Linked DNA regions of Styela clava. The protein of the gene in region 1 purifies or fractionates together with the protein of each later gene. This does not show direct contact. Links are inferred from orthologs where the notes say so. Each region holds a gene or a part of one and is shown in the gene's direction. Other genes may lie near its edges. The genes, in order: renin receptor-like, V-type proton ATPase catalytic subunit A-like, vacuolar ATPase assembly protein VMA22-like and V-type proton ATPase subunit F-like.

What was found.
Region 2: the proteins of renin receptor-like (region 1) and V-type proton ATPase catalytic subunit A-like purify together in Homo sapiens (co-immunoprecipitation; 3 studies listed by BioGRID and IntAct, with this or other methods). This does not show direct contact. The link is inferred for Styela clava from reciprocal best matches to the Homo sapiens genes ATP6AP2 and ATP6V1A.
Region 3: the proteins of renin receptor-like (region 1) and vacuolar ATPase assembly protein VMA22-like purify together in Homo sapiens (affinity purification with mass spectrometry; 3 studies listed by BioGRID and IntAct, counting the BioPlex papers as one, with this or other methods). This does not show direct contact. The link is inferred for Styela clava from reciprocal best matches to the Homo sapiens genes ATP6AP2 and VMA22.
Region 4: the proteins of renin receptor-like (region 1) and V-type proton ATPase subunit F-like purify together in Homo sapiens (affinity purification with mass spectrometry; 3 studies listed by BioGRID and IntAct, counting the BioPlex papers as one, with this or other methods). This does not show direct contact. The link is inferred for Styela clava from reciprocal best matches to the Homo sapiens genes ATP6AP2 and ATP6V1F.

The regions. Positions count from the first base shown.
Region 1 is NC_135256.1:9,500,046-9,508,620, forward strand, and holds the start of renin receptor-like, read left to right. Parts: upstream 1-5,348; 5' UTR 5,349-5,519; coding exon 5,520-5,550; intron 5,551-7,632; coding exon 7,633-7,800; intron 7,801-8,256; coding exon 8,257-8,348; intron 8,349-8,519; coding exon 8,520-8,575. Other genes in the region: protein farnesyltransferase/geranylgeranyltransferase type-1 subunit alpha-like, read left to right, coding at 122-207, 426-549, 1,431-1,653, 2,034-2,179, 2,584-2,646, 2,901-3,078, 3,565-3,654. UniProt on the Homo sapiens protein: Multifunctional protein which functions as a renin, prorenin cellular receptor and is involved in the assembly of the lysosomal proton-transporting V-type ATPase (V-ATPase) and the acidification of the endo-lysosomal system.
Region 2 is NC_135253.1:4,236,407-4,244,244, forward strand, and holds the start of V-type proton ATPase catalytic subunit A-like, read left to right. Parts: upstream 1-4,719; 5' UTR 4,720-4,841; coding exon 4,842-4,923; intron 4,924-5,137; coding exon 5,138-5,266; intron 5,267-5,615; coding exon 5,616-5,690; intron 5,691-6,864; coding exon 6,865-7,004; intron 7,005-7,670; coding exon 7,671-7,808; intron 7,809-7,838. Other genes in the region: intraflagellar transport protein 57 homolog, read left to right, coding at 609-738, 1,188-1,285, 1,374-1,463; neuferricin-like, read right to left, coding at 1,843-2,047, 2,153-2,339, 2,565-2,705, 3,061-3,424. UniProt on the Homo sapiens protein: Catalytic subunit of the V1 complex of vacuolar(H+)-ATPase (V-ATPase), a multisubunit enzyme composed of a peripheral complex (V1) that hydrolyzes ATP and a membrane integral complex (V0) that translocates protons.
Region 3 is NC_135263.1:13,922,886-13,930,401, reverse strand, and holds vacuolar ATPase assembly protein VMA22-like, read left to right. Parts: upstream 1-5,391; 5' UTR 5,392-5,627; coding exon 5,628-6,260; 3' UTR 6,261-6,918; downstream 6,919-7,516. Other genes in the region: cholecystokinin receptor type A-like, read left to right, coding at 1-167, 402-509, 965-1,102, 1,933-2,031; gem-associated protein 5-like, read left to right, coding at 6,919-7,090, 7,495-7,516. UniProt on the Homo sapiens protein: Accessory component of the proton-transporting vacuolar (V)-ATPase protein pump involved in intracellular iron homeostasis.
Region 4 is NC_135256.1:13,317,853-13,324,199, reverse strand, and holds V-type proton ATPase subunit F-like, read left to right. Parts: upstream 1-4,502; 5' UTR 4,503-4,635; coding exon 4,636-4,998; 3' UTR 4,999-5,415; downstream 5,416-6,347. UniProt on the Homo sapiens protein: Subunit of the V1 complex of vacuolar(H+)-ATPase (V-ATPase), a multisubunit enzyme composed of a peripheral complex (V1) that hydrolyzes ATP and a membrane integral complex (V0) that translocates protons.

The DNA.
Region 1 (8,575 bases):
GTAGTGAACATGCAGAATAAGGCTATGAAGAAGAAACTTTGCTTATTACAGTATTACAGTATTAGGCCTACTTACAGCTGTACAGACTTAGACTATTGCTACTCACAATTCTTTTTTTCAGAGATCGTCCAGAGTGGAATGATGTAACACCAGTACCACAAGATGATGGACCTCACCCAGTTGTACAGATTGCTTACAGTGAAAAATGTATTCCTTCTTTTATTCACTTTTATGGTTACTTTAATTTATCTTTAGGCCCATCTTTGTTTCTTGATTTTATCTCAAGAATGCTGATAAGAATTTGATTGTTCCCCAGGGCAAATTATATGGCAAACTTAATGGATTGAAGGATCCAATTAATATAAATATTCTGATAGGCTATATATTATCCACCTATAGTTATATAATTGTTACCATTTTTACAGTCAAAGATGTCTTTGATTACTTTCGAGCAGTTTTGAAATCAAACGAAAAAAGTGAACGAGCTCTCGAACTCACAAAAAGTGCGATTGATATGAATCCTGCAAATTACACAGTATGGCAATATAGGTATGCAATATTTGTAATCAAACTGGTTGGTGTATTATGTAAGGTGTTGGGAACACACTGTTGTCTCAAACCTAATAAATCTGGCCGAGAAATGCTGACTAAATTGCAATCGAAGTGATGTGCAAGAAGACTTCTTGCCATCAAAAGGTTGTTCTCATAACTTTTTGCAGAGGCTATATGTTATAGCCATTTGTATCCATGAAAGAATGCGATTAGGCTTTTTTTAACACCTCTGCTGGAAAGATTTGCCATAAAGCAAGCAAAATACTTTCAGTACAAAATTTTTTTTGAGATTTGAAACATCGCAGTGGTTGGGAACTGGCTGTTAATTTTGAATGACTAAAAGCCTTATTGGTGGGGATGGGATAGACAAGTTAAGATGACGAAGTTCGTTACAATATCTGTCACAGAGGCAGAATGACATCATATTTTGTCAATGGCTAAGATTGTGCATTCTTAAAATTACTTTTAGAGCAATGATATTCATAGTCTTTCAATTTGGATAAGGCTGATCAAGTGTAGGTGTTGGAGCAAGATGTCCAGAATGGGGTAGCAATACTCCATACGTGTTGATTTTTTTTATAATTGGGATACAATTCTGCCTCATCCTGTTCAATTTTGAATAGTTATGCTTTCGTACCTATATTAACCACTTACTCTTTGGCTAAATTATTTTATAATCAATTCTATCATACTTTCAAGATCCGTTTTGGGGTTGCTATTTTGACTGTGAGATTTCATTGTCATCCTCCAATTGCCAAGTGTTCTTTACTGCAATATTTCGTAAGATGTATTCGGTCTCACCTCTTTTTACATAGTAGTAATAGTATTTTGATAATTCATACAGTTGTGATTAATGGCATTCTCTCATTTTTATATAGGAGAGTTCTCTTGAAACATTTAAAAAAGGACATTACAGAAGAAATGAATTTTCTCTCTGGTCTTATTACCGAGCAACAAAAAAATTATCAGGTTTGGCATCACAGACGAGCGCTGGTTGAATGGTCAGGGGACCCCTCAAAAGAATTAGAATTTACGGCAGAGATTTTGAATTTGGATCATAAAAATTATCATGCATGGCAACATAGACAATGGGTAATAAAAGTAAGTAAAAGCTTAGCATTATCTTCTGCGTTTATAACAATATTTGTTTGTATATAAAATACATAGAGAATCTGATTACTGCAGATTTTTGTGTGAATGACAGCATTGCATGAAGAGTTTTATGTCAACTTTTTGAACACAATATAATAATGTTTATTATAAATTTGTTAGACGAGGAAACAATAAATTTCGGAAGTCTCGAATTATTGTCTTTAAAATTGAAATTGATCTACTCATTTTGTCAATGATTCTTCTGCCCTGGATACTATTTGATTCAACTGAAATAGAAAAATAAACATACTTATAGTGGCTGAAAATAAGTTGAAAAATGAAGTTAATAATCTGTTGATAATTAGAAAATCACCTTCCATACATTGCAGGAATATTTATTATGGGAAGGTGAACTTGATTTTGTGGATTCATTTCTTGAGTCTGATCTTCGCAACAATTCTGCTTGGAATCACAGATATTATGTTGTTTCTCATACTAAAGGATTAACAGACGAAGTTGTTAAAAAAGAAATTGAGTAAGATCATACATTTCTCATATTGTAAGTCTGGTTATATTCTGTTTATTGCAGAGGTTCCTGGCCAAAGATTTATAGAACACCAAGCGGTAGTGTGATGAACAAGACTCATTCATCCAATTCTCTTGTAATTTCTGAGAGGAAAATCAACATTGAAATTGCATATACGCCGAAAATCAATTTACGTAAAACAAACATTTTTTTCCCATTTTTCAATGAACTGTAAGTTATATAACATGCAGTTATACAGTAAAATCAATATAAATACAATATAAAATACCACACTAATCTAGAAACGAAACCATGCATTTTGAGAATATGTGTATATGAAGCTAGAATCATGTGTTTTATTTGAGCTCAAATGATGGCGCACTTTATAATAAATTCTGAAACAACATTTTTAGATACGTAACAAAAAAGATTGATATGGTCACAAAGAACGAAAGTGCATGGAATTATTTGAGAGGGTGAGTATTTTTTCAAATTTGCCAGCCAGTAGTTACCATATTGGCACAGAGAGATTTGAAATGAAGCATTATTAATCGCTAATTGTTAACCACTTCGGAATATAGTATATTTGAATCATGGGTTTCACCCAAGGTTGCCAAATTTTTCAAACTCATGGCTTGTTCTTGTTGGCATAAGGCGGTTGATTGTCCGGTGCTCTGATACCAGCAATATTGTTGTGATTTAGGTTATTGATTATTATTCTTTATTACAGCATTCTTCTCGATCGAGGCTTAACGTGGAGTGAAGAATTAAATAAGAAAATTCACTCATGGAGAGGAGAAGGATTGAAGTCCCCTCATCTGTCGGCTTATTTGTTGGATATGTATGAAGAAGAACTAGGAAATAAGAAAACAAATGATGTCAAAGAAACACTGCACAAAGCGATGGAGGTTGAATTTTTTATTATTTCCTATGTTTTTTATGTATAGTGTGAACTGGACACCACAAAATTCAATGAGTTAATTGATATATTTTCAAAAATGGTTTGTGTTGATTTGAATCGGAATGGTGCTCGATTTGTATGTGATATTGAGCTAGGATTTTCGGACTTATTCGAAGAAAGACTTACTTGCATGACGCCTGGTTACCAGTCCATGTCAAGAATGGGAATATAATATGAAACAAATATTCAACATTAATTTTGGTTATTCTATCACCATTTATTAAAGGCTTCTTTAGTCTGAATTTTTCCTGTCGCTGGGGTAATAAAAAAATCAATGCAATACATTATTTTCTTCTTAATTTGGAGAAGACCCTTGACAATCAGTCACATAATTGTGTAGAACTACCGAGTTTGAAATTGTAGGAACATTTCCAGTTAGTGCAACTTGCCAAATGTAATAATATATTGACCAATCATAAAATTTCCATAACAGCTATGCAAAGAATTAGCAGAAGACACAGACAAGATCAGACGCAACTACTGGGAATTTTTTTCACGATCTCTAGAAGAACGATATTCATGAGAGACTCTTCCAATCGCTGGAGAAGGATGGCTTCTTGCCAATCATCTGAGAATTTAATTCAGAATACACTAATGATCAATTTCGATCCACATATCATGTGAACCTTTGAGAATCAAATTTGTTGTGCTCCAGCTGGAGACAGCACATACTTTTATTTGTTTTATAAAGAATCATGCAACGGCTACGTTGTCAGTTCAGTGTGAACATTGACCAGTAAATGTATCATTGCTCATTGTGTCCAGTTGTGAATTAGCTATTAGGGCCCCAGTTGTTCGACAATATGTAAGTACACTTTGGTACTGTTATTAATGGGGCAGAAAAGGATTAATGGGGCAATGTGAATTAGGAACTTTTATCATTTATTTTCTATTATGCTAGGCGGTGTGACACATCATGCTAAGCGTTAGAAATACGCTCTCTGTTGCATTTCTGATTAACGCGACACTGGGGATAATAGTGTGTGAGAGGATTGCTAGAATCCTCACCACCGTATGCGGATTCACATAGCGGCTGGTCTCTTACCACTTCCCCAACCATCGAGTCAATACATTTGGAACAAATAACTGGCCAACTAATCCCATACCTGACATGGACTGCTAATCGGACGAGAGGATGTGGTTCATCATATGATTAAGAGAATTATCAACTTTTCTACTTCTACACAAAGTTTTCTTACCTGGGTTTTAGTGTTGGTGGAGAACCGGTACCTATATTCAGAAAGATGCATTGAATGTGGTTGATATCGGATATTGTACTCTTACCGCGCATTGTTTGATCGATCTAACCTGCGTAGCTTGCAATAAATGCTGTATGGACCTTTCCCCGACCTTTGACCCTCGAAAAATTCTCCCTATACTTTACCATTGCAAAATTGTCAGGGCTATTTTAAGAGTGCTTTTGCGAGTTGGCGCCTGTAAAATGGGGTATGTGTTTCAAACCATCATTATGTTTCATCGCATACAACAATCTGTTTTTTAAAAGTACCGGTAAAGAATTTCAGGCTAGTCTATCACAGCTATTTCTACACTAACTTTTATTACTGCAATTAAATTCAAACTCCTAGAAAGACAGAGTGATCATTGAATTATCTGATTTTTATTCAAGTTCCCAAAACACAACTGAAAACTAACGAATAGAGTTCAAAAACGCGAAAACGAGGTAATGTTTACAATCACGCTTGAAAATCTGAGTGAGAAAAGTGTCTGAGCGGATGCAAAAAGGGGGCATTGTTACGTCACTTTTTGCATCTTGCTGATTGGCCAATGTCACGAAGTAAACAAGGAAGTCGATGCTCGGGGAAAGGTCAATTACGTTATTATACAACAGTAATTTATTTATCTTTTTAAAAAAACATTTCACTCTGTAATACACAGTTTTATTATAGAGGGTTATCATTCTCTGTAGTTTCATATGCCGCCGCTGGGGCTCGCGGCTGCTGTTTTCCACCTATTTTTCCAAATGATTGATGCTTTTAGGTGAGTGAACCGGTACCACTCTATTTTGGCAACTCAACTCAAATTCTGTACGTCCAAAAACCTTACTTGAAGTTTTATTTTATCTCCTGGTTCTATCTCCAGTTTTAACCTATATGTTTTTATCAATTATTTTATCGTCTGGTACCGGTATGCTGAATATGGTCGAAATAAACTTAACTTCTACCTATACACTCATTAATATTGAACAACGGACTCCGTTCACCCCTACCTGCATCCCGTGATCCTAAGAAGTCAGCTTCCTATCGATCAGGCTTGACGTTATAAGTCTGTAAGTAATATCCGTTTAGACTTCTTTACTGGTTTGCTGCGAAACAGAATTGTTGTTCTGTGTACAGTCTCCAACTCGAATACAAGTATCACTAGTGTGACATGGATGAACTTCGTATTTTTGTGTGTCTTGGTAAGTTTACTTTTTTGCCCAGAAAAATTGAAGGAAAAGGGTACTGCCATCGTACAGGACGGCAATTGGCCATTTTCCTCCAGGAATAAATAAAAAAAAGTTACGGTACCGGTAACCATAAAATCCGAAAACTGGAAGTTTAAAAACATGAATTGGATTCTTCATATCTGTATATATCATTTATATGTAATCAAAAAAGACAAAAGAACCCGATACCCCAATCCATGACTTGTGCATAGACTGCTATGGAACATTCGGGTCTGGTATAGTTTAGTACGACATGCACTTCTAGTTGGCCTGGCTCAACAATTTTTGCATATGTCAATCCTAACCCTCACCTGACTACGTCACCCAAAAATTACGTCATTTTGACGTCACAGTGGCGTAATAATGCCTACCAAAGTATGCGAATGGTCGTCCAAAACGCGCAGACGAGCACCCGAAATCGAGCAAGCTATTTCTCTCGTTTTCTCGTCACAACGATCACGATAGGAGAGAGATAGCCGGCTTTAGCGAGTTCGTTATCGGCGGCGCAGATGTCATTTCGGGCGATCGGAATTATACTTTGGCAAGACCTATGACGTGATGGCGACGTCGTAGTGACGTAATTTTTGGATGGCATAGTCAAGTGGGGGTTAGGAATAACATATGCAAAATTCGTTATGCTACGCCCACTGGAAGTACCTGTGGTACTAAACTATACTACACCCGAACATTCAATCTATTTATCAAGCTTGTTTTTTTAGTAACAATTTTTTGTCACTGCTGCACTGTGTTGTTTTTGCAATGAAATTGAACTAGGCCTACAGCATTACCGTTTTGCGTCAGGGAGTGTTTTTTTTGTTCCATGTTTTTGTATGAAAAGCACTGTTGTGTTACACATACACGTCTTACATTTATAATTTAAAAGGTAGAAGTTTATTGCATTCAATTATTTACTTCAATTTGCTGTTTTCGGTAAATTGCTCTCAAAGTACTGCCCGATTGTAAATCGCGTTTTTCTGTGTTTGTTTTATTCTTTTTTGGTGGGCGGGCACGTACAATGTACGCTTTTTAACTTTTTTAAAGTTATGCCCATCTCCCAGGTATCTCTGCATTTTGTTTTGTCTGATTACTTTTTGTATTGTTTATGCCAGAGAACCAAAATAAATGACTGATTGATTTATTTGTAAATAAAGTTATTACACAGCCTGTCAGGCTGTGGTAGTGGTATATACAGATATAGGGTGGCTTAGCTAATTTGCGGCCATCAACTTCATCAATGTAATTAATGTCGAAAAAATTAACACACCGTGACGATATTACTCATGCGTTATCGTCCACTTATCCCTCGTAGCTCTGCGAAATTACACTAAAATGCGGCCACAAACAACGAAGTTACGAACTTACGACCTAACACCCGACTTGAAGAAAAAAAAAACGAACCTTTTTTTTATGTCGCTAACTACCCATTGTCCCTGTAGAAAAGCTTGAAAATTTATAGAAATATAAAGAGAATGAGATATAAAGATAAAACTTGTCAGTTGGGTAGAGTTGTGGTACTTTTAACCATCTTTAAAGTTCGCGTTTCTACATTTAAAGAAGGGGGAATGGGCTGGGGGTGCGCATTTCCAAAAGGTCGATAATATCTTTGTCGACCAATATGCGACCATCATGTTTTTGTGTGTTTGATCGCTGTGATGTGGTGCTTTGTTTATAATTTGGCGAATTGTGTTTGAAATAACCGTGTTCTTAAAATATTTGACGGTCAGAAATGCAATTAGAAGCCTAATTTTTTCATGCATGGCTGCTTAAACGATTTCCAAGTCTCAAAATCACTGGTCTTTCGGTCGCAAATACGTCTTCCGAGTATCGTACTCTGGTGGTTTGTATAGATTTAACCCCTGATTTTAGAAAGTTAATTCGAGTTGTAGTGTGTAGAATAAATGCCCATCACCTACAGTAAAAAAATTAATGGGTTAGAAATATTGGTTTCTATTTTATAGCGGTTTGAATGAAATCGTTCGCAAACTGGCTGTACCATTCTACTGATATATGGGTACAGTAGTATGGTTATGAAATATTCCATTTGTTTTTCCGCAGCGCTCATTTCAACATGTCTTGGTGAGTTTTACATTGCAAGTGCACCGAAAACAATGAAGTTTATACCGAGAACTGATCAAACTGTTCGAAGACGCGAACTGCCGGGAATCATCAATTTCATGATGGGTTTGCCTGCACAATATTTACATCGCACTGAAACATGGCCAGGTAACGTTGTCGATATGCAATTTCAATTGTTAGTTCAATTTACAAATTGGATGTATTTCGACTTTTGATGACGAAACCACATTTTTAAATTGATGCGGTTGTAAATTTTTTTGTGTAGATTTTTTCATTCAGTCACGCTTCCTATATTGTATCAGACAAGTAAATCTTTGTTGGCTTTGTAGGTATGGCCTTATGATACACCCCACAATACCATGAGTATCTGAGAATTTCAAGTTGAGATATGATCCAAAGAATATTATCGTGTGTAAATGATTTTGTTGCCAAATACCTGTAAGCGTCAAACATCTCGATTAGAAATCTTTTTCATGCAAATTTGTTCAAAGTAAAGGCATGGTCCTCCAACTGAAAGTCCACAAAAGACCTAATAGAACATGCTATGTTTGAAAGCGTTATACTAGTTTTTTGGGTTCGCAATGTTTATATAATTTTTTTAAGGTCTTCAGAGCATTGATTTGTTCAATCCACCAACAGCGAATGTTCTGATAACGTTACATCTTCCAAAAGGGAACGATTTTGCTTTGAGCAAGGTATTTTTGTTCTATCCATGATATTTTATTGTTTTTAAATATTTTATTCTATAATATGTATCCAGAAATCTTATTTGTGTAAGTGCTTTTTTCACATTTTTTTGTTTAGATTTTTTAAAATTTCCTTATCCATTTATTACCTTTAGATTTCATGTATTATTTCTATTTTAGCACATCATCAAGTACACAACAGATAATTTGGAGTCAAGCATTCCACCAATATTTGA
Region 2 (7,838 bases), on another chromosome or scaffold:
TCGAGAATCAAAAAATTGCCAGATTTGGAGTCGAAAAAGAAAATAATTTAATTTGTATACGGATTTTTTTTTAACAATATCTGAAATATTTTGGTTGAACATTGATTCTGTTCTTTAGATGAGAATGCTGATTAATTGTTTATTTTTAAATGCATACTTCGTTGAATTTTGACAAAATGCCCCATTGTGCCCCACGAGTGGAGTACAGTGGGACACTGGACAAATGTTTCTCAAAGCAATCTGGTGGTAAGATGTGTGTCGCAAGAAGATTTGAATAAAAATTACATTTATAAGCCCCCCCCCCCCCCGAAATGTGAAATGATTGTGCAAAATAATTGAAATGAAAAAACTATTGCACAGGGGTTCCTAGAGCCACTGGAATCTTTCATTGGGGTTCTTTACACCAAAAAGGTTAAAAATTACCAGACATAGCTAATATTGCATATGAGCATAATATCCTGTCACTTCATCTAATCTTGTCCTTTGAATGTTTTTTCATATTTTCCACATAACAAGTTTAAACCACAGTCGTCATCAGGAAATTGTGGGCAATGGGTCACACTGATTTGAAAAATAATGCAGTAAGCTGATCTCATTTTTTTAAACAGACGAAAGAGAAATACAGACAAGGGAGTGGAGGAGTGACTCAACATTCCAGAACATTAGCGGAAGTTACAGAGGAGTTGGAAAAAGTTAAACATGAGATGGAAGATAGAGGAAGCAGCATGACCGATGGAGGTATGACATTTGAAATCAATTTTCTATCTTGACATGGAAGCTCGAAATGAGTCCACAATACCGAACTTTAGGCCAGGGCTACTCAACCATTTTTCACCAAAGATCTGTGTACAAAACCCAAAATTATTGGGTTATGGTCTTTTCAGAAAATATATTTCACAATACGCCTAAATTTATTTCAGTGCTTACAGTATTTAGGTTATTAATAAAAAAGCGATCCACCAAGACGTTTATTAATTCGCCAAAGTTCTTTTCGAATAGAGTGATCCAAATATTTAAAACTAATAAAACAACCTCTGAAACTATAAATCAAAATAAGAGGAAACATTCACGAGCCTAATGTAACAAAATAAATTAAATGCGGTTCAAGATCAGGCCCGGTCAGTCAGTTGAAGGCTGTACCGAGTATAGTAGCCTAACATAAGTTTGAAACACTGTATTGCATTTAGCTCCACTTGTCCGTATCAAGCAATCACTCAATAGATTGAAAACGGAATCTACACAAATGGATATAAGAATCGGAGTAATTGAACATATTTTAATGCAGGTATGTCTCCATTCATATGTGTACAAACAACCTGGTTATCTATTTTTAGACCACCTAAACCAAAAACAACTCATAATTGTAATTCCAGGCTCGGATGAGAGACAAAACTATAATGCACAGCAACATGAATCAACCAGATGGTTCTGCAGAGTATAATTCATTCGGAAAAATGTATTAAATGCTGCTACAACATTGTATATTATTATTTATTTCATTGCATGATTTATTTTTCTAGAAATAAGTAATAAAAGTGTATATAACAGTACTGTGTAAAAGTGCAATAATCGAAACAAGCTTCAATATGAGACAGGACAAGTTAATTACTCTTGGGTGTCAGGTAAAAAAAGTCCTGTAGTGAGACATATTGCAATAGAAAATCCTAGGGCCAAGGCACTTCTGTAATATTCAGTCTCGTTAACTATAAATAACATGTTGTTGCTGAGTGTAGTGAAAGCCTGTAACAAACAAATATTGTAGTACCGTATAACATATTGCAACAGAATTAGAAAACATACTATGCTACTTGCAACTATGAAAAAAAACAATTGATACATTATTCAAATTTTGCATGAAAATGATTTTGGATCACAGCCTTTGATTTCTTGTAGGTATGGATAATCTAAGTTTCCTCTATTGTCATCAACTTCTGTGTGTCCCAATGAAGGTGGCCCGCTATCACGAATACATACACAGTACGCATTCTTTACTCCAACCGGTTTGAGCATCCTTGGTACCCCAACCCAGTCCCTTTCTATCCCCCCACTGAAAAACAAAATATTTTAGTAGTATGAAATTGTTGAGCTTTTACAGTTTTCAAGTCACATTTTTAAACATTAGTTTTGTAATCTATTTTGAAACTTTTATTACCTTTTCGTTGAACACCATACTCTAGAACCCGTCTCTTGCGTCCATTCTGAGTTACACCTTGGAAACAACTTTTCATGCTCCTCTTCTTTTGCCTTTAATTTCCTGGCTTCCATCATTTTATTCTGCGCTTCTCTCAATGCTGCAGTAGGTTGTCCATTCGCATCATAAAAATTCCCAATTAGCTTTCCTAAATTGCATAAAATAGAAAAAATGGTCACATATTGGTTATACAAAGAAAAATGAAAGCAAGAGAATGTAAGTAAATACTGGTAATCTTGGGATATGATACTTGGCATTGTTAGCCCTATGAGCATTTTATTAGATTTAAATCAAAGCTTATAGAGCGGTTACCATTAGCTAAAAGTAGCATGTCATTATTCCAATATATTTAAAATAGGATTATGCAACTTACCAACATACGTGTAATCTTCTTCATAAAATGTAACCCAATTTTCATATTCCCCGAAATGTTCAGCGCCTACCCCAGTAAGGTCATCAGTGAGCCCCTTATCAGTGAAATCACCTGTACTATATGCTTTAGTTCCATCTCGACCTAAAAGCAAAAGAAGCAACATGTAGCAATAACTTGTTAATACAAATTGAATATCTACAACTGAGGTTGGATATACTGCTTGTCTAATATTCAAATTATCATCGCTTATATCATCAAAACAAAATTATGTTTTAGTCGACCTAATAACTGATCATGTGCAAGTTAGTTGCTGGACTCAGTGCCACTTCTGCACTTGGGATTGACGGTCAATTTCTACCTTCAAGTTTGACAATGAAATGATGTGATCAAAAGTTTTATTGTCTTTGCTTAGAATCCGTATGTTATTTTGAACAGTATACCAGTATGTACCTTAGAAATTGAAACGAATCATTAATTACTAAATTGAGGATCATACCAGCAAAGAAGTCATATCCTCCGCCAGGTTCATAGAACTTAGCCCCTTTTGAAACATCATAAACTTTTCCTAATATAGCGAGATACAATCCCTTGCTATCCTTTCCACCGCGGTAGTGGTTCCATAGCTCTTCTTTTGTAAACAGCCGATCATTGGTCTTTTCCGAAATTGACGACTTTTCAGAAGCCGGCGCACTTTTTTTGGCAGCAGGTTTATTTTGTTTTTGTTGGAAAGAATCCATGAATCTTGAGCCCGATTCGAAAACATAGGCCTTGGCGGCTTCAATTTCTGTTCCATAATCTCGAACAAAATACCCGATCGCAACACCTAAAACAAGCACGAAAATTCCAGACTTGAAACCCATTCTGCAAAGAGGTAGCCTAGACGTTACCGCAGTTGACTACTGAGACACCACATCACAAATTCAAGCTTCGTTGGCACGTCATGAACTTTGCATGCTCGAATAAACTTCGCTTATTCAAGCTAACATTTCTCTATAATTGATTTGTTGAGATCATGTAATACTTGCGAGAACAGGATTAACGCCAATAATATTGTGGTTTAGGCCTAGGGTACCGGTACCGTATGTGGTTTACATTTACGAGGGTGAAAAGGCAGCCGACCGATGTGCAAAATCATGTTTTTATGCAAGGGTCGATTTCAGTCACCCTATATCAGTTTATGGGAGAGGTGCTTGACGATGTAATAACAAAAACGTTCCCTAAGTTCCAGATGGATAGGGTGTAGAGCAGCTCGTCACGGCGGCTAACTCCCCGGTTAAAAATCTAAATACACTTATCGTGCAACAAAGTTACCGTACCGGTACCGGTACAGAAGCTGACGGTCGTACTTTTTGGTATCCACCTATTTAGTTTTATAAATCAATGGAACCATCGTTTAACGACTTGATATATGTGGGATCGTAACAAATTTTTCATTCTTGAAAAACCAATTGGTTGCACCACATTCATCTTTCGAAGGAAACATCTCTGGTTTATCAGCGGGAGGTCAAAACTCGTGACAGGCATGTGAGAAGCTAATGATGCGTGATCGATAAATCATTCTTATTTAATTTGTTCTTGTGGCGTTAGGGTTGCGAAGATCTGAAGATCAGTGCCGGACAGCCGGTGATTTGATTTTAAAAGCAATTCTAAGCAAAATGCACGAGTAAAACAGCTGGCTACGCACGTTATATAGAAAATAAAGATTGGGACTGCACTTGATGCTTGAGATGGTGCTGAAGTGAGAAATACCTACAATCCAAGTTTCGCACTGCCTTCGTTTATTTTTCAAAAATTATTCGTTAGTAATGTTTACGTGGACTACCGTAGGCTATATTACAATATTAGTGTACCGGTATGTTGGCTGGTTGACCTAGAGCTGTAGAGTAATGAATGTGGTTTGATTAAAATCTCTACCAAATACTGAAATAGATGAGAATTGGGGTTTTGAGGTTTAATATATTGAAATTGTAGTTATCTTTATTGTTCATTACTGCATTATGTTAACGCGAGCTTATTCCATGTGTGTTTAGGTGAGTGAACACGTACGGTTCTCTTCTTCTTGGCAAAATCTTCCATCTTATATTCTGAACTTTTTAAATCTTATGTAAGGTCTGAAGGTGTTGTTTGCTCTCCTGATTTCATAATCAGTTTTTATTCGTTTGCTTTTAATAGTCTTATTCTAATATCGATTGTTCGTAGGTTCTGACCATATAGTGTATTTAGCGGTGGACACTTTTTGTGCAAAGATTCAACTCTATTAATCTTTATTCGGAAATCATGGATTTTAACAAACTCCCCAAAATAAAAGATGTTGAAAAAGAAGGAATGCTCGGAAAAGTATTTGGGGTATCTGGTCCAGGTAAACCCCTCTAATACATTTTACTGTCTAGAATCAGTACATCTTCATCTCAACGCTTTAGAAAATAGTTTTGGGAAATCTGAACTGGAAATATTTAATACAACTTTAGTTTTGGCGAACTAGATGAGTTTCAATAATAAGTCTTACTCTCATTATGGCATATATATTTTCAATCTGTAACTACATTACTAATATTCTATACTTTATCTTACAGTTGTGATAGCTCAGCACATGTCTGGCTCTGCTATGTATGAACTTGTCAGAGTTGGTCGATCTGAGCTTGTTGGTGAAATTATCAGACTTGATGGCGACAGAGCAACAATTCAAGTATATGAAGATACGTGTAAGTGAAATATTTCAAATTGCATGAACAGGAATAACTTTTTATTTGGGTATTACAAATTTCATTTCATTGGTCGGTACTCCCATTGTATGTGTACCAGGTTAGGGTTAGGCCATAATTTTATTCAGATTTTCCTTATTTTAGTTCTATCACGAGTTCTGGGACTGTCTGCGTTAGCCATGTGAATATCCCCCTGCCCATAGGTTCCAGTCCCTTCACACAACTTGATGTAAAATGGGCAAACAAAATCCAAATTGGTACACATACTTATGTAGCGCCCATAAGTGAACAATTCTCCTGCACATTATCATCAAAAAAATTTATTGAAATATATACATTCATTTTTCAGCTGGGGTAACTGTTGGAGATCCTGTATTACGAACTGGGAAGCCACTGTCTGTTGAACTTGGTCCTGGAATATTAGGTTTGTTCATGAGTATGAGTGACTAGTCAGTTTTTTGTCTCTTTTGAGGTTTGAATGAGTCTATATTTTTGTATTTGTAAATTTGTGGTGCATCAACTTAGCAAAACGACAGAACATAGTACTATAATATAAAGCAGGGATGGCGAACCACTGACCCGCTGGTCACAAAGTGACTGACCCGCCAAGGCACGAATAAAAAAAAAGCTAACATATCAGGGATAAAAATTGATAAAACCGGCCTTAAATTAATCTAACAATAACTATTATAATGTACCATCAATTGGGCAAGGCCGCGATCGCTCATATTCAAATTGGTAATTTTCAGGTCGGTATGGTAATTTTAAAAACCACTAATCTTGACTGCATGTCTGCACCGATGTGAACCGTTATTCAGCTCTGACATAGTTTATGACATAACAATGCCATTGATCTGTTCATTTCTCGCAACGTCTTGCCTCTTTTGGAAGTGCAGCATCTGCAGACTGTTTCAGGGGTTATTTGAGAATTAGATGCTACTTTGAATTTTATTAGTTTTTCGCCTACAATGCCGTTGAAAAAACGAAATCTTTCAGATCTCAAATAAAAATCTAGATATTTAAATTAACAATCGGGCAGTGTAAAAGTGCCTTAATGTGGTTGAAAGCTGATTGAAAAATATAACACTATCAGAGTGTAATTACCTACAAATTCTTTGGAACCGCGAAATAGTTTGCCGCATCATCCTAAACGTTTTTGGTAATTCATATGCGTGTTTTCGTACTCGTAACATAGGTTTAATAGTTGTGACCCACTCCCTTCTGTTCCGCGATAAAAATATAATTTTTGACCCATTCATTGAAAACGGTTCGCCATCCCTGATATAAAGAATTACAGAAATAAAAAGATGATTTTTGATCTCAAAGGAAGGGCAAGTGTTCAAAGAGCTTATAGAAATGTCACACCTTTTTGATTACCTATATTATTCTTATTAACCAAGAATTTTCAAAAAGGCATTAGAAATTAGAGATGTATCGGTATTTGACATAGATATTGGCGTTATTTCACTAGTTTCAGATTGGAATTGGTGAGAAAAGTTGAATTGGTACATCACTATTAGAAATGGGGATGAAACATGAATGCTTGATATTTCTATTGAGGGATGTTCTGTGATTCTTCTTTTTTTATTGTTGTTCAGGAAATATTTATGATGGAATTCAACGACCTTTGCGAGATATTAAGGATTTAACAGATTCAATTTATATCCCAAGAGGTGTCAATGCAACTGCACTTGATCGTAAAGCAAGATGGGAATTTGTTCCTTTGAAAAATATCCAGGTAGATCAGATTTCGTTTTATTGAAATGAGCGTGGAAAATATGAAAAGAAATCTTTGCTTTTAATAGACTATTCACTCTGATATGCTCTTAGGCAGATCTATACAATTTCCGGTGCTCCCATAGTGTGTGAACCAAGATAGCGAACACCGGATTGTAGTATGTGTACCAGGTTAGGGTTGGGCCATAATTTTATTCCAATTTTCCTTATTTTAGTTCTATTACGGCTTTACGGGTTTGGGACTAAACAAGTGACTTCCGTAGTGTTTGTACCTGAAATTATGGCTAAACCCTAACCTGGTATGCATACTACGTTCTGGTGTCTGCCATCTTGGTTCACATACTACGGGAGTACCCAATTTTAATTTAAATACTTTAGTCAGTATATATTACAAAAGAAAATTATATCAATATGAATGTAAGTCACTACTATTATCATACTATTTGTATTATCTGAGAAGGAACTTCGATTTTCAAATATTACTGGGAAAGTAACTTATATGAAGGATGATGTATGATATATTTCGTCATGATTTGTAAAAGCAAAGGCTTGTGTGTTTGAGCTTGAAATTTTTATGCTTTAAATTTATTGACTGTGCGGAGGATCAATACAACACATTTTCAAAGTATTGACAACTTGATTGTTGATTCATTTCCTCATTTTGCAGGTCGGCAGTCATATAACAGGAGGTGATGTTTATGCAACTGTAGTAGAAAATTCACTCTTACAACAAAGATTGATGTTGCCTCCAAAATGTCATGGCAAAGTCACTTACATTGCAGAACCAGGGGAATATGATGTCACAGTATGTGGTTTTCAGTTGCATTTATTGATC
Region 3 (7,516 bases), on another chromosome or scaffold:
CAGCTAATTCGGAACATACAAAAGGTTTCAAAAAATTTCTACGAACATGTAGAAATCCCAAATCCTTGCGCAACGGTGTTTCAAAGAAAGAAGACTCCCGGAAGAACGAGACACGAAAACAACTTCAAGCGAAAAAGAAAGTTGTGGAGATGTTGATCGTGATTGTGGTAAGTTCTGACTGGATGGAAGTTGACATACCAAATATTCATTAGAATACATTTTAGTTAGATGCAAAGTTACACGATTTTTATAAAAATCGTCACGTGGATCATTGAAGCATGTCCCAATGTGCATGATGAAAACACTCCACGTTGTTTTTCTTCTGTTAGGCCACATTGTTTTGATAAATTTGCATTGGGAAATGTGTATATATGACTAATACTCCTTGTGTGTTGTTTTAGATTTTATTTTTCGCGTGTTGGACACCCACCTTCGTCGTGAATGTTTGGAAATCGTTTGATCCTCAAACTGCCAGAAGAAAACTACAGAGTGGCATTATTGTCATCCAGGTAGCCTACAAATATTTGATGTCAAATTTTTTTCTATGATTAAATAATTATAAAGGATTGACCCATTCAGCTCGTTGTTACTAAGCAGGTTCTAATCGTTACGAAAGCACATAATTCTTTGTGTTTGTGCGTGATATTCAGATACAACCAATTGAACGTAGAAGGTAACGTAGTATTCAATTACAGAATTTAAATATATATATATTTTTTCATGGAAGACATCCGGGGCCTCGACATTCTATTTTCAACTATCATACATTTTAAGTCGTTTTTAAATTTTTATCGCTTGTTCCAGAATTCAACGGTTTAAACTTTCATAAAACTGATTAGTGATTTTTAAAATACTTTCCGTTTCGAAAGTTAGAAACACAGTCGAATAAATAAAGCTGTCTTAATATAGTAGCAAGAAAGCATTTTGGCAAAAGCTAAGGTTTAAACATCTTGATTGTTTTCAGATTCTGCCCTACGTTTCAACATGCGTCAATCCTGTCGTCTACTGTTTTCTGAATAAAAGATTCAGACAAGCTTTTTTGAACATATTCTGTATTTGTTGCGGTTGCCTTCCAGAAAAATGGCGACCGAAAAGACCGGAAGTAAGAACATTTCATTATTTACTCCATATGCAATACTCAAGTTACAAATTGTTACACGCTGGAGATATTATCCATTTATTTCAGACTTGATGCAGCCTATGTCAGTAACTATCATGGTTAACTGAAAAGGCAGTATTTTTGCTTGATGTGAGTTGTGACACAGTTTGGCTTTTTTTTTATTTTCATTAATCTGACGTGCGTTTTGTCAGCCAATCTTAAAAATATCTGATTCAAATTGAATTAGGTATATTTAGTATGTGTTATTACTAATTAGTTATGTTATTAGTAAAGTCGATGTTAATATAAAACTTGTAATAATATAGTCTTAATCAGTGTTTAATATAAGGCAATCTGATTTCAATAAATTAAGACCGGAAAATTCAACTAAAACATAAGGGGCTGATCCTGGTAAGGGGCTTGCTGTTTCATTTGTGCAGTCGTAGTTTGTTTAAGGATATACAGTCGACGTCAAAAATATAAAGTGCTACTCATTTGCCAATGCGCAATGAATATTACCACATCCAATTTTACGTAACTTTGTGAACTTATTGTTGGAACGTGATTGTGTATAAGTAATCTATCTCAGTTTAAAGTGATTGAACTATGATACCGTTAGATATGTCATAAAATTGAAGTAATACATTAAGTCCGCATTCTCTGCTTTTAGTTCGAAGAATTTAACTGCCGGTGGCCGTCATGCACCCAGGTTTTGGAAATGACACGTAATATTCTATATACCTACTATTTCAAAATCCGTTTTGTCTTTGATTTATCGACTTTGGTCAAGCCCATTTTATTTATCCGAATCATGTATATGGTATTGTTTACAGTTCAAAACCACATTTCGTCAAGTTATGAGTGACCGTGGTGTTGGAGTCGTGGGTAATTTGCAGTGGAGTGCATGCCAAGACTGGATAATAGGTCATTAACAAACCAGTTTAACTACCAGCTTTATCACAACTAACACCGCACGCGCTACGCTTACTAACTAACTCAGATCGTCTTTCGATCCGAAGCTCATTTCATTTTACTTGCAGCATGGTATAAGCAAGGCCTAACAGATTATATAACGTATTTTACGCAGTAACACTAAATTGTCGCGCAGCGTCGAATGAGCTAAAGCAAGCACGCATGGTGTGACTGGAGGAGACGCTTGGCGTTCCTCATTGCGACACTAATTTGACTAAAACAGAATTGGAAACCCTCCATGTTAATGATACTGTTTTTATGCTTAAAAATATCTTCTTCATTACACAAAGATTATTAAACGCAGTGTTGACCAAAGGAAACTCTGTGGTGCATGTTATCGTGTCCAATATGACAAACAGTATTTGATTGTAGGCTATAATGATTTTTTCTAAATACAGAAAAACGCACAGTGTTCCACAGATAATACAGATATTATATTGAATTTTTGTTACCATAGCCATCATTTTGAAACAAGTTACGAGCGCCATTGTGGTCTCAATTCTTACGTTGTACACCTATGTCGTAGAAACAAAAGTATTTAGGTTAGGAATTCCGTATTGTTGTTACCATCCTCAACGTTTCATGTATGCAGGAATCCACTTCAATGTTTTCCCATAGTTACTACTTACTATACGTTTAATGAATGTCATGCTCAAATTTTAATTGCCTGGCTTGCGTTCTGAATTCATAGGCTGACCTATTTGCATAAGCTTGTTGCCTGTGTAGTAATGTTTTGAATATATCTCTGAACCAAGGCAAAAGCAAATCAGAGTTGTACTTAAACTTATTATAGACAATCTAACAACATCGAAACGACCTACATCAAAGTTTAAAATACAGCAATATGTTTGCATGTAACTGAATGTGTGTTTACGAAATCTCGAAATGAATTGATGTTGTTTATCGTATTCAACGCATCTTTACATGTACCCTACATTAACAGCTGTAGATACTATCAAAGTAACGATCTCTTGTTGTTATAATCATCCTTCTTACAAAATCTATATCATAATAGACCATTTACTACTAATACCAATTAACGTCACTTTCTGCAGGATAATCGACGACCGATGACGACACAAAGCACTATGGTGACATCAACGTCACAAGTGTGATTCGCAAAGAAACGGATCCAGCAAAGCTGAGTACAGCGAGGGGGTGACAGGGACTCATATTGAAAATAGGTTGTCTGACACAGCTTATTTGAACTAGGAAATCGTACGCTTAAATCTACAATACGGTGAAAAAATGGGATGAAATGCAAGAAAAATTAGATCGAGTGAAAGCTAACATCACACAATGTACTAGCTCCCGATTGAACTTGTTTTGGTGGCCCCCAAAATTACAGTTTCGAGTCCGTTCATCATTTTACATATCATTTTTAATATCATACTTCAAAATTTAAACAATGGAGTGAGATGATAGGTTCATTTAGGCTCTCTCGTGTTAAGAGCAAATTAAATTTTATATATATTTATAGAATTATAAATAAAAATACATCATTACTCTCTCTATACGTTCTTATCCATCATTTATTATTTTTACAAGAACTAGTATTTAAAATTTCTTTTTTTTATAGAAAGATATTAGTTTGCAACTGTCGATGGCAATTGGCATATACCGTAGATATAATTTTTCTAATATTGAATGCTTTTTATGTTCAAAACTTTTCACGACAAATAATACTATATAGTGGTTGTATCAACACATTATTACAATTTAGATTAATCATTCATCGTGTCTGTAAATTATTTGTTCACTTTTCTATTAATAAAATGATTTCCACATATACATTTCGTTTTATTTATAATTTTCGACTTGGATTATTCTGACGCAGAGTGTTAATCAGTGGGCTGGGAGATGAGAACGTTTTTGTTAATTTCTAAAAAATGATGAAATACAATAACTGTCGTGAAGATTGTGCTGAGTAATATTTTTGATGATTTTTCTCACAATGCGCTATGATGACAACAACATCAGAAGTTATTCGTATTACTCAGTTGGTCAAAAAGCGTCTTAGAAGTTTGACTCTAAAACCACCCTTTTCATTTGGCGGATTGCTTGTCCTGTCTAAACCGGAAACTGCCGTGTTCCAATGAAAATAAAAATATATCAAAATTTTGGATAAAATATTAAATCTCATTGAATTTATAGAAAATTTAGGAATGCACAAAAGTAATAGCCTTCTGCCCAAAAATCATTAAACTCACCAAAAACTAAATTTCATCCTTTGATACAAATAACCCATTTCGACTGGCCCTTTATTTCAGCAATGACATTAATGTCATTGATTGAAGCGTGTTATCGGATACGATCTTCGGTTACAAATGCCGGAGTTGTGCATCATGTTGTATATTGTCGTGATTTCAGTGAAACTGAACTTAAAAAACATTGATCATATGATTTTTTTCTTTTATGTTTATTGGCCATTTGTAAAACTTAGCAATAAAATAGCAATTATCCATATAACAGGAGTTTGCAAAATGCAGTAAAAGCAATAAACAATAGGAAAAATAGAATCGTTTATACTCACGATTTCACGAATACCTACCGAGAATGGAAAGTAAATCTGATAACCACAAGATGTCGTTAAAGTGCAGGGAGATGCATGAAGCACAACACAAACATGTGCGCGGTGCGGGAGCAAGCCGCTTATTCGTGTTATCGTGTATGCTGTATGGTGTGCCGGAACATTATCAGCTATGTACCGGTAGGATCTGTATTCAATAAAAATAGTTTCAGTGCCATCCAGGGCGGCTTTTCCAGGCTCTGGTCTACTCGAAAAAATTATAGAAAAATTTCTAAGCCAGTAGGCAGTAGATGCACAGACCGGGTCTCATCTCTCATGTAGTTTCGTACCTAACATACTTCTAGTGAGCGTAGCATGACAATGTTTTCACGTATCAATCCTAACCCCCACCTGACTACACCATCCAAAAATTACATCAACACGACGTCACAGTGACGTAATAGAGCCCTTCAAACTATTCGAACTACCATCCAAGACACGCAAAAGAGCACCCAAAATCAAACAGTTATTTTTCTCGTGGCAACGATTCCAATAGGAGAGAGATCGATAACGTCAGTCAGCTCTTTATCGTCGGCGCCAATTCCATTTCGGGCGATTGTACGTATTTTGGCAAGCTCTATGACGTGATTGTGATGTCATAGTGCTGTAGTGACGTAATTTTTGTATGGCGTAGTCAGATGGGGCCTAGGATTGACATATCAAAAAATTGTTATGCTACGCCCACCAGAAGTACGTTAGGTACGAAACTACACGAGACCCCAAATTTGGTTTGCAGCCAAATTCTATATATAACATTACAGGATACCAGTATACTGGTATACGATTGATTAGAAATATCTCAAATCATGCACCCATGGTTCACTATTTATTTAAACTGTCAGACTGTTTTATTTTTTTCATCCAGTCCGGCAGACATCCAGCAGAGAAGGTGCTAAAAATAGATATTCTGATATTGGAATTTCATAACAATGTGCCCGTTTTATTTCAGTAAAAGTCATTCTTTTTACCAAATTATAAAACGCAAGAATGGCTTCAAAACAGAATTTGGATTTTCAATATCTTAATCTTTTGCGAATAATACAACAAATTCACGAGAAAAAGCAGCAGTTACAAACATGTATGGAGAATGGATTTTTTTGTATGTCAAAGGCACGATATGTCATGGGAATGAAACAAGTATCTAAACTGAATTATGCTTCTGTAATGAGTGCAAATGTAACTGTTAATGTTGAACAAAACGATGATGAGGTTTCTAAATTTGAAGTTCAACATAACAAAAATGAAAGAAAAGTATCAGAAAAACAAAACAAAACCAAAAGTGGTGATCAAAAAGAAGCAATTTTAAGGAAAAGAAATGTAGGCAATAGCAGTTCTGAAGACAAAAACATTGAAACGGATGATACTGATCACGTCCAGTCTTCTATTAATGAATTGCCATCTGCTGTTTCTGATATTGATATCAGCGAAGAAGATAAAATTGCAACCCCAACTGATCCATTAAATTGGTTTGGTGTGCTTGTTCCACAAAGTCTTCGGCAATGCCAAATTGAATTTCGAAAAGCCTCCATAATCATTGGTGATATAAGCACACTGCAATCTCAATTAAAATTGGCTAAAACAAAAATTAAAGAGTTAAATTCTGAGATTTCAATCAAGTGAAATATTATTATATTTATATTTATTGTGAATGATCATTGCTTATGTCTCGTGAATCAAATTTAAAGCACCCATTGAGAGATTTCATTTAGTGTACCACACTTCTATTGTTTGATAAAAACTTGCAATAATTTCAATTTTCATTTGCAATATTTGTTTGTTATGGGAAGCTCTTTTTAGGTATTTTCCTGTTTTGGTGTGGTAATATCTATACTACAAATTGAATTTTTATATAAAAAATGTTGTTGTATATACCCGGAGTACACATTTCCAATGAGCATATGTGCCAAAGTGTAATGTTGAAATAATGTTGTTGCTGCCAAGCCACTTTCGAATATGTATTGGTAATATGAATGAACTTCTGAAGTTAAAATTTGGTATGTTGGGCTTCAAAGAAGAAATAGCGATGCGCATCACTAAATCTAAATATTTATCTGCGAATCGAGTCTGTAGCTGAGATGCAGTTGTTTCCATAAAGAATTACCTCCTACCAAACCATATGCGGGTCATGTTCGTGCTCATGGTGTGCCGCATTAAACATGTATGCCCTGTGTTATTTACCCCTGGTATAAGACTATTCATTATTGCAAAGAATCATATTTAATACTCAAGATTTTCATTTTTTCTACTATGTAACAACATCTAATCAAAGAATTTTTGTATGTTAGATGTTTATGGTAAAATATTTAGTATAAATATGGTTGTTCTTCCATCGTCACCAGTGTGGTATCAGTCTCGAGGTATAGATACCTCACATAATGGAATTCTTGCATTTGGATCGAGAAATTTGGTATTTTTATTGGATTTGACACAAAAGAGAGCTGAAATTTATGGTAGGATTATTCATGGGATTTTTTATTTGTTTTCCATGGGATTTTTAAGATGTGGTTACAGTTTTTTCTAGTTCCGTAATTTGCATTTTGTGGAGAAAAATTATGGTTTGAATCAGTATTTTCCCCCTTTGTGTAACGTAATGAATCTGAACAAAATTTTTATTTTGTCGGTCTATTAAAAAATTATTAGATTTCAAATTCTAGATTGATCTGAATTTCACTGGTATACCTAACTATACTGTTATTGATTTATAGAATTTTTGTACAGTAATTTTTTATTTGTTTGTTATACATCACTACTCCAGGGTTCGGTTAGCAATGAGCATAAGTCAGATGTTGTATATTGTGAACCTGTCTATGTGCTAATTACAATGTTATTATGGCCAAATATATCATTGTTTTAGGTATCCTGAGTGGCCATACTGA
Region 4 (6,347 bases), about 3.8 Mb from region 1:
GGTACCTAGTTGGTTCGATGCACTACTGCTCTTTTGCATTGCCGCCGCCTGATGACGCTGCAAGCGTCTCTTGCAAGAGGCTGTCTCCGGTGGTCGTGTTGGGCTGGTGAACCATGGTCATATTTTAAGCAACTATTCCAATTCTTGTACACCAAATTCGTCAAATCTCTGCACGGGGCAAAAAAATAGTGTATACACAAGATTTACAAACTGATTGCAACCTCGAACGATTTATGTGGTTTTACGAGGGCGTGGTTTAAAATTGGTGTAGCATAGGTGCAACATCTTCCCTCAGAAGTGGATTTTGGTTGTTAAATTAGCTAATATTCGTCTGTTTAGTTTTGTCATTTATGTTGGCTTATTGAGAAGATAACGTAGATTATGAGTTTCCTATGTCATATAAGGTACAATCAGGTTTATTAGAATGCAGTATTATGAGAATTTGCCGAGTAGGGGAAAATTTGGCTTCCGATAATTTTGTTGTAAACAGAAGATTCAGAAAGCGTGAAATAAAGTATGCACGAGTGATATGTTTCAGATTGAAACCAAATAAAATCCAAGTATTTTAGCCATAAATACGGGGTTGAAATAATAGAGAAGTGTCTCAGATTGATTTAGATTTTGTATTTTCAGCGATCTAGCAGAACGATTGTAAATATGCCGACGGGTAAAATATTTGCAGAAATTGCGTTGAATTAACGCGTATTTCTAATGCCACACTTTCAGATAAAGAGGCAATTGAGACTTACAATTATGAATATGATGAGGCTGATCTTGATGAAACACGTAATTTCTAGAACGATATTTATGTAGCTAAGATTTCGAGCCTAAAAAATCAGACCATTTCAGCATTTTGACTGTTGGAATTTATATGGACAGACAATAGCAATCTAAAAACAAATCCAAAGTTGGAACTTAGTCGTGTTTTGAAAGTCCGAGGGCGGCGCCGTTCACCCAGACAAACAGAACCTAATTCAACGTTCGAGGGAGCACAGTTTTTTCTCTTGCTCCGAATTTTTGACAACACCATAAACATATTGCAATCTACTCATAAACCAATCTAAACTAAATATGGAGCAAAACAATAAATGTATACACAAAAACGGAATTTGTCTGAACACAAATGCTGCAGAAAACTACCGATGGCAGTGTTTTTTTTATAGTGTCTTCCAGAGTGGGGGCAGGGTCGGTCGATAAATTCAAACGAAAGTCTGAAGTAGAAAGAGAACACATACAGTCCAAAAAATATCGAAATCGTAAAAATGTAAATAAACACACAAATTGCCAAAGATTTTTCTGCTACCAAAAAACTTGGTTTCTAATTTTTCGCAGCGTAGCGTAATCAAAATGACTTTCACGCTAAAAAGTCTTTCTCCGATGAAATACGTAACAGCAGGTAAATGCAAAATTATTTCGATGTTAAATCTAGATTTTCTATATTCTTGCATTTTAATATATATGGAAATTCAAAGTTTCAGGATAATTTCAGAGAAATAGGTAAACGAAAGTGTCAAGAGACAACTCATATGCATTTTCTAAATATTTTGATTTGCGAAACTACATAGAGTGCAAAAACATGATCTATATTAACATTTGTTTACATTTTAATGCGCCTTTTATTCATAATTGAAGTTTTGAATTGAGCCATGAAATAAGTTTGACACTCCCATTAATATTTTCCACCATCGTAGTACATATTCTGGTCATGTTACAAAGTATTGCAGATTGAACATCATACATGTGATATCTTGGAATTAGTCTTTTCCGGGCAGAAATTGCACTAGTGCAACATCCAGTAAATCCCCCCAGGGAGTCGGAGTGTCGAAAATTTTCAAAAATTTATCATATATGACCTAAACGTATTGCTTTCACCAAATATCAGATTTTTCCCACTGGTAAAAGATAAAGGGCCCCGAAGAGGGATATAATCACGGTTAGGTTCATATAGCGGTAGAACTCTGGACCTAAAATGGCGGGTGTGACGTCACACAAGCGCTTATGACGTTACCAATGCATGTCCTAACTTGTGTTCGCTGTCACAAGACAGGAACCTCTAAAGATAGTGCAGTTCCGGTACCGTAACGTAGCGCGATGACACTGAACTAACTCGTGACTGTCTCGTAAAAGCGGAGCTTGCATTCATTGTTAGGCTATACGGTAACTGATGCTAAATGTTGTTGCTTTTCTTGAAATCGGTAAACGTGTCCATATATTTGAGCATAGCTTTTATGCTGTTCTTAAGTCTACATTTGTGCGTTGCGCTCTTGTTTCGTCAAGCGCAGCAGCACCCGCCGGCGTCACGTTTGTCCTGGTCGTTTTGCGCAACCGGCGCTAGTCATAGAATCGTAGTGTTATCATATTTGAGCATTGACGTCTTGCTTTGTCTATCACATGACCAACGTGGATTTCCCGGCGATCGTCAGGCTCACAAGGGAATCAAGTTTTAGTTGATTAGGCTAGAACTTTCAAAAAACAGTATTATTTAGTCCTACCGGTACGGTACATATCTTGATAATACAATCTAGCTAAGCTACATTCAGACATTTCTGCATTTATGAATTGTGCAGTCTGAGAGTGTAGACCTGTTTAAAGTTATGTATTTTTTCTCCATTAATCTAACCCAAGAAAAAATATCTTTAAATAGTTGGAAGTATTCAAAATTCAGGATAACTGGGTTTTGTCAGTATCTACAAATTTAAAAGCAGCAGAGATATTTGTTTCAATCTTGCTACTGCTATTCTTGTATTCATTTAAATTTAGATTTTTTTAGGTATTAAATCAAATTTTTCCCAATTTTTGACGTATAATTAAGTCTATTTGCAGAGTTAGAATATACGGCACTGCTAATGCAATTTACTGAGAAGTAGGGTAACGTTACTTCATATAAAGATCGCAGTTCAGGCTTGAAATTCAATATTATAACTTGGAAAAATAAATTTTCTAGATTGGCTAAAATATTTTTAGCCAAACTATTAACTTATTTGGTCCGTCAGCAATATACAATTTGTATTTCGTGTTGAAAAATAGTGTTTCTCGTGTGTTTCCTATAGCCTATACTGATATAGGCATTCAAGCATTGTGTAAAGATTGCGGCTATTGCTATAGTAAATGTCAAAAGTTTATGCTTCATGCTTTGCTACAGGTGTGTTTGCGCTCCGCCCAATGCATTGTTACAAGGTGTGTATGACTCAGAATAACATACGAGAAAAACCAAATATTTTCAGTTGTGTTGCTGAGTTGGTAGCTTAACAACAAATCAGCAACCAGTTTATTCTTACCACAGTTTCCATGGTTACATTTATAATACTCTTCCTTTAAGTTTGTGTAGTAATATTTTAGATACACAAATGTACTATTGGCTTTTCATTAATTTGTGATAACGGCATTGGTGTTTCAGTCACATTTCTATAAGATAATCATGGCAGATAATGATGCAGATCTTGCCATAGCAGAAAAGGATATGGGCAATTCATTCTATAAGAAAAGGGCCTTTAAAAAAGCTCTGGAATGCTATGATAGAGCTATCATACTTGATGCGACAAATGCTATATTTTTCACAAATAAAGCTGCAGTGTATTATGAACAAGGCGAGCTTGAAAAGTGCAGAGAAAATTGCTTGAAAGCTGTGGATGTGGGACAAAACCATGGTGCAGACATAGCACTAATTGCCAAAGCATATGGCCGTATTGGAAGTTCTTATATGAAAGAAAAAAATCATTCTGAGGCCAAGCACTTCTTTGCTATATCTTTATCAAAAAATAAATCCTCGGATGTTATGGAGAAGTTAGTCCAATGTGAAAAAGAAATAGAAGAAGTGGAAAGACTGGCATACATCAACCCTGAACTTGCTCAAGAAGAATATTCAAAGGGCTGTGATGAATTTGCAGCTAAAAATTTTGAAAAGGCTCTGAATCATTTCACAGAAGCAATCAAACGTAATCCCGATGATGCCAAAACATATTTGACAAAAGCTGCAGTTCATATGACATTGCTTCAATATGATAAAGCTGTGGAAGATTGTGAGGAATGTGTTAAAAAGGATGCCAGTCTTGTGAAAGGTTACATTTATAAAGGAGCGGCTTTAGAATCATTATGTGAATATGACAAAGCTATGGATGCATATCAAAAAGCACTTGAACTTGATCCAAATGTAAAAGAAGTAACAGAAGCATATCACAGATGCTTAAATAAAGACTATGAAGCTCGCAACACATCGAATCTGTTACATAGTAGGGCAAAAGAAAACACAGACATTGCAGAGATATTATCTGATACAAATGAATCTGATTCAATAAGAAAATTGATTAATAATCCTAATATGACAGATAAAGTGCAAAAGCTTATTGATTATGGATTAATCAAGTTAAGCTGAGTTTGTTTTTGGCCAATGCGATGTCTCGTATAGTAAACGTAAGATCAATAGCATATGATGCAAGTATGCAATTAAAATTGAAACATAATTTTAATTATCTTTTCTTATCACTGGTATTCCCTCATTTGTATTCATACTGGTGCCATACTTTTCCTATTTGAAACATTTAAAGAGTTTGAACATGGGTCACCATGTATTATTAGCAATAAAACTATTGCTTTATGTTTACAGATTATTGATAATACGGTTAAATAAAAGTAATCATGGCAGCGGCTAAAGGGAAGTTACTTGCAGTGATTGCAGATGAAGACACATGCACAGGATTTCTCCTTGGTGGAATTGGTGAACTCAACAAAACAAGACAACCAAATTTTATGGTTGTAGATAAAGATACTCCCAGTTCTGAAATTGAAGACCAGATGAAGACATTCCTCAGCCGCCGAGACATTGCAATTGTACTCATTAGCCAAACAATTGCTGAAGTTGTACGGTACATTATAGATGCTCATGATGAACCCATACCAACAATTCTTGAAATTCCATCTAAGGATTCACCATACGATCCATCAAAAGACTCTATATTGAGGCGAGCGAAAGGAATGTTCAGTGCGGATGATTTCAGATGAAAACCTAATAATGAATATCTGAATGTTGCAGTTATTGTCATGGTCACAGATATATTTTTGTTCTTTCATATTGTTATATTATTTCCTTAAAATCTATTCAGATAAGTTTGGGTTTACTAGGACATTTTCTTATTAATAAGCATTTGCTCCAATCTTCATTCCTTCAAGAATAATAATTAACTTTTCAATAACTGAGCTATTTGGCAATACTGATTTTTCATGCAATTTTCCATTACTGGTACTAATTTGTTGAAAATTGACAAGGATTAAATGACTTTTCCTGATGAATAGTTTCCATACTATTCAACTAACTTGACATTTATAATAGGCTTTTTATACAAATATACTTGTCTGTGATAGTTTTCAAGTTCATTTCTTGTTTAAAGTCAGTTGTGCAATAAAGTTCACACTTCAGTATGGCGTTGAATTGATGTCTCATATGCAAGCTTGTAAGAACAGAATGTATGTATGAGCAGGGTTGCGTTTTCCGCAGCAACTAGTCATAGTACACATTAGATAAAATTTGTCAACCAAAAACAAGTAAATGGAAGTATACATACAAAAAACAACAACGTTTTTGGTAAAAACTAGAGGGAACGATACGGCCAAGAATGATAAATACGGTATAGTTGATGAAAACTTGTGATTGAAGGTACCATATGCAATGTGTGACGTCGCCCGGAAGTGGAGGAAAGCCCATCTGAGGTGTAATTTTCGTGTTTTGAATTAGAAAAGAAAAACGTCATCGTTCACATAATCACGGACGCACCGATGAAATGATTATAGGATAGAAAATAAAGGAATGACTATCAGGGTTACCATCTACCTAGAGCTAAAAAAAAGCACGATTGTTAAAAGAATATTTTGCGAGGGGTACTTAACAGCGGAAGAAACGCAGAATGAACATAAGAAAAAGTTCATGCACGAGTCTCTTCCGCACTCCCGATTTTTTCATAAATCCGGAATCGCCACCAGAATATATGCGTGAAAGACATGTTATTTTCACCTACTAATAAAACGTAGCTCAATTTTATGGACAAGTTGAATATATATAATAAGTGCACATAAATGAATGACAAATGAGGGCACGTTTGAATTTCACTGAAAGATATATAGAATTTCCAGAACAGAATATTTCATGGCGGAACTTTGAGCAAAAATATCATCACTCGTCAACGACCTTAATATAGCGCTTACCCGCTTTTACATATCGTTTCTCTCTTTCTGTGAAACAATAGGTAAATGCTTTTATATCCATCCGACGGCAGGTTGAAATATATGATGTGTATGACCGTAAATATATAGGCCTACTGTATGACTTGAGCCGTAGTAGTATATATTTACGCTTG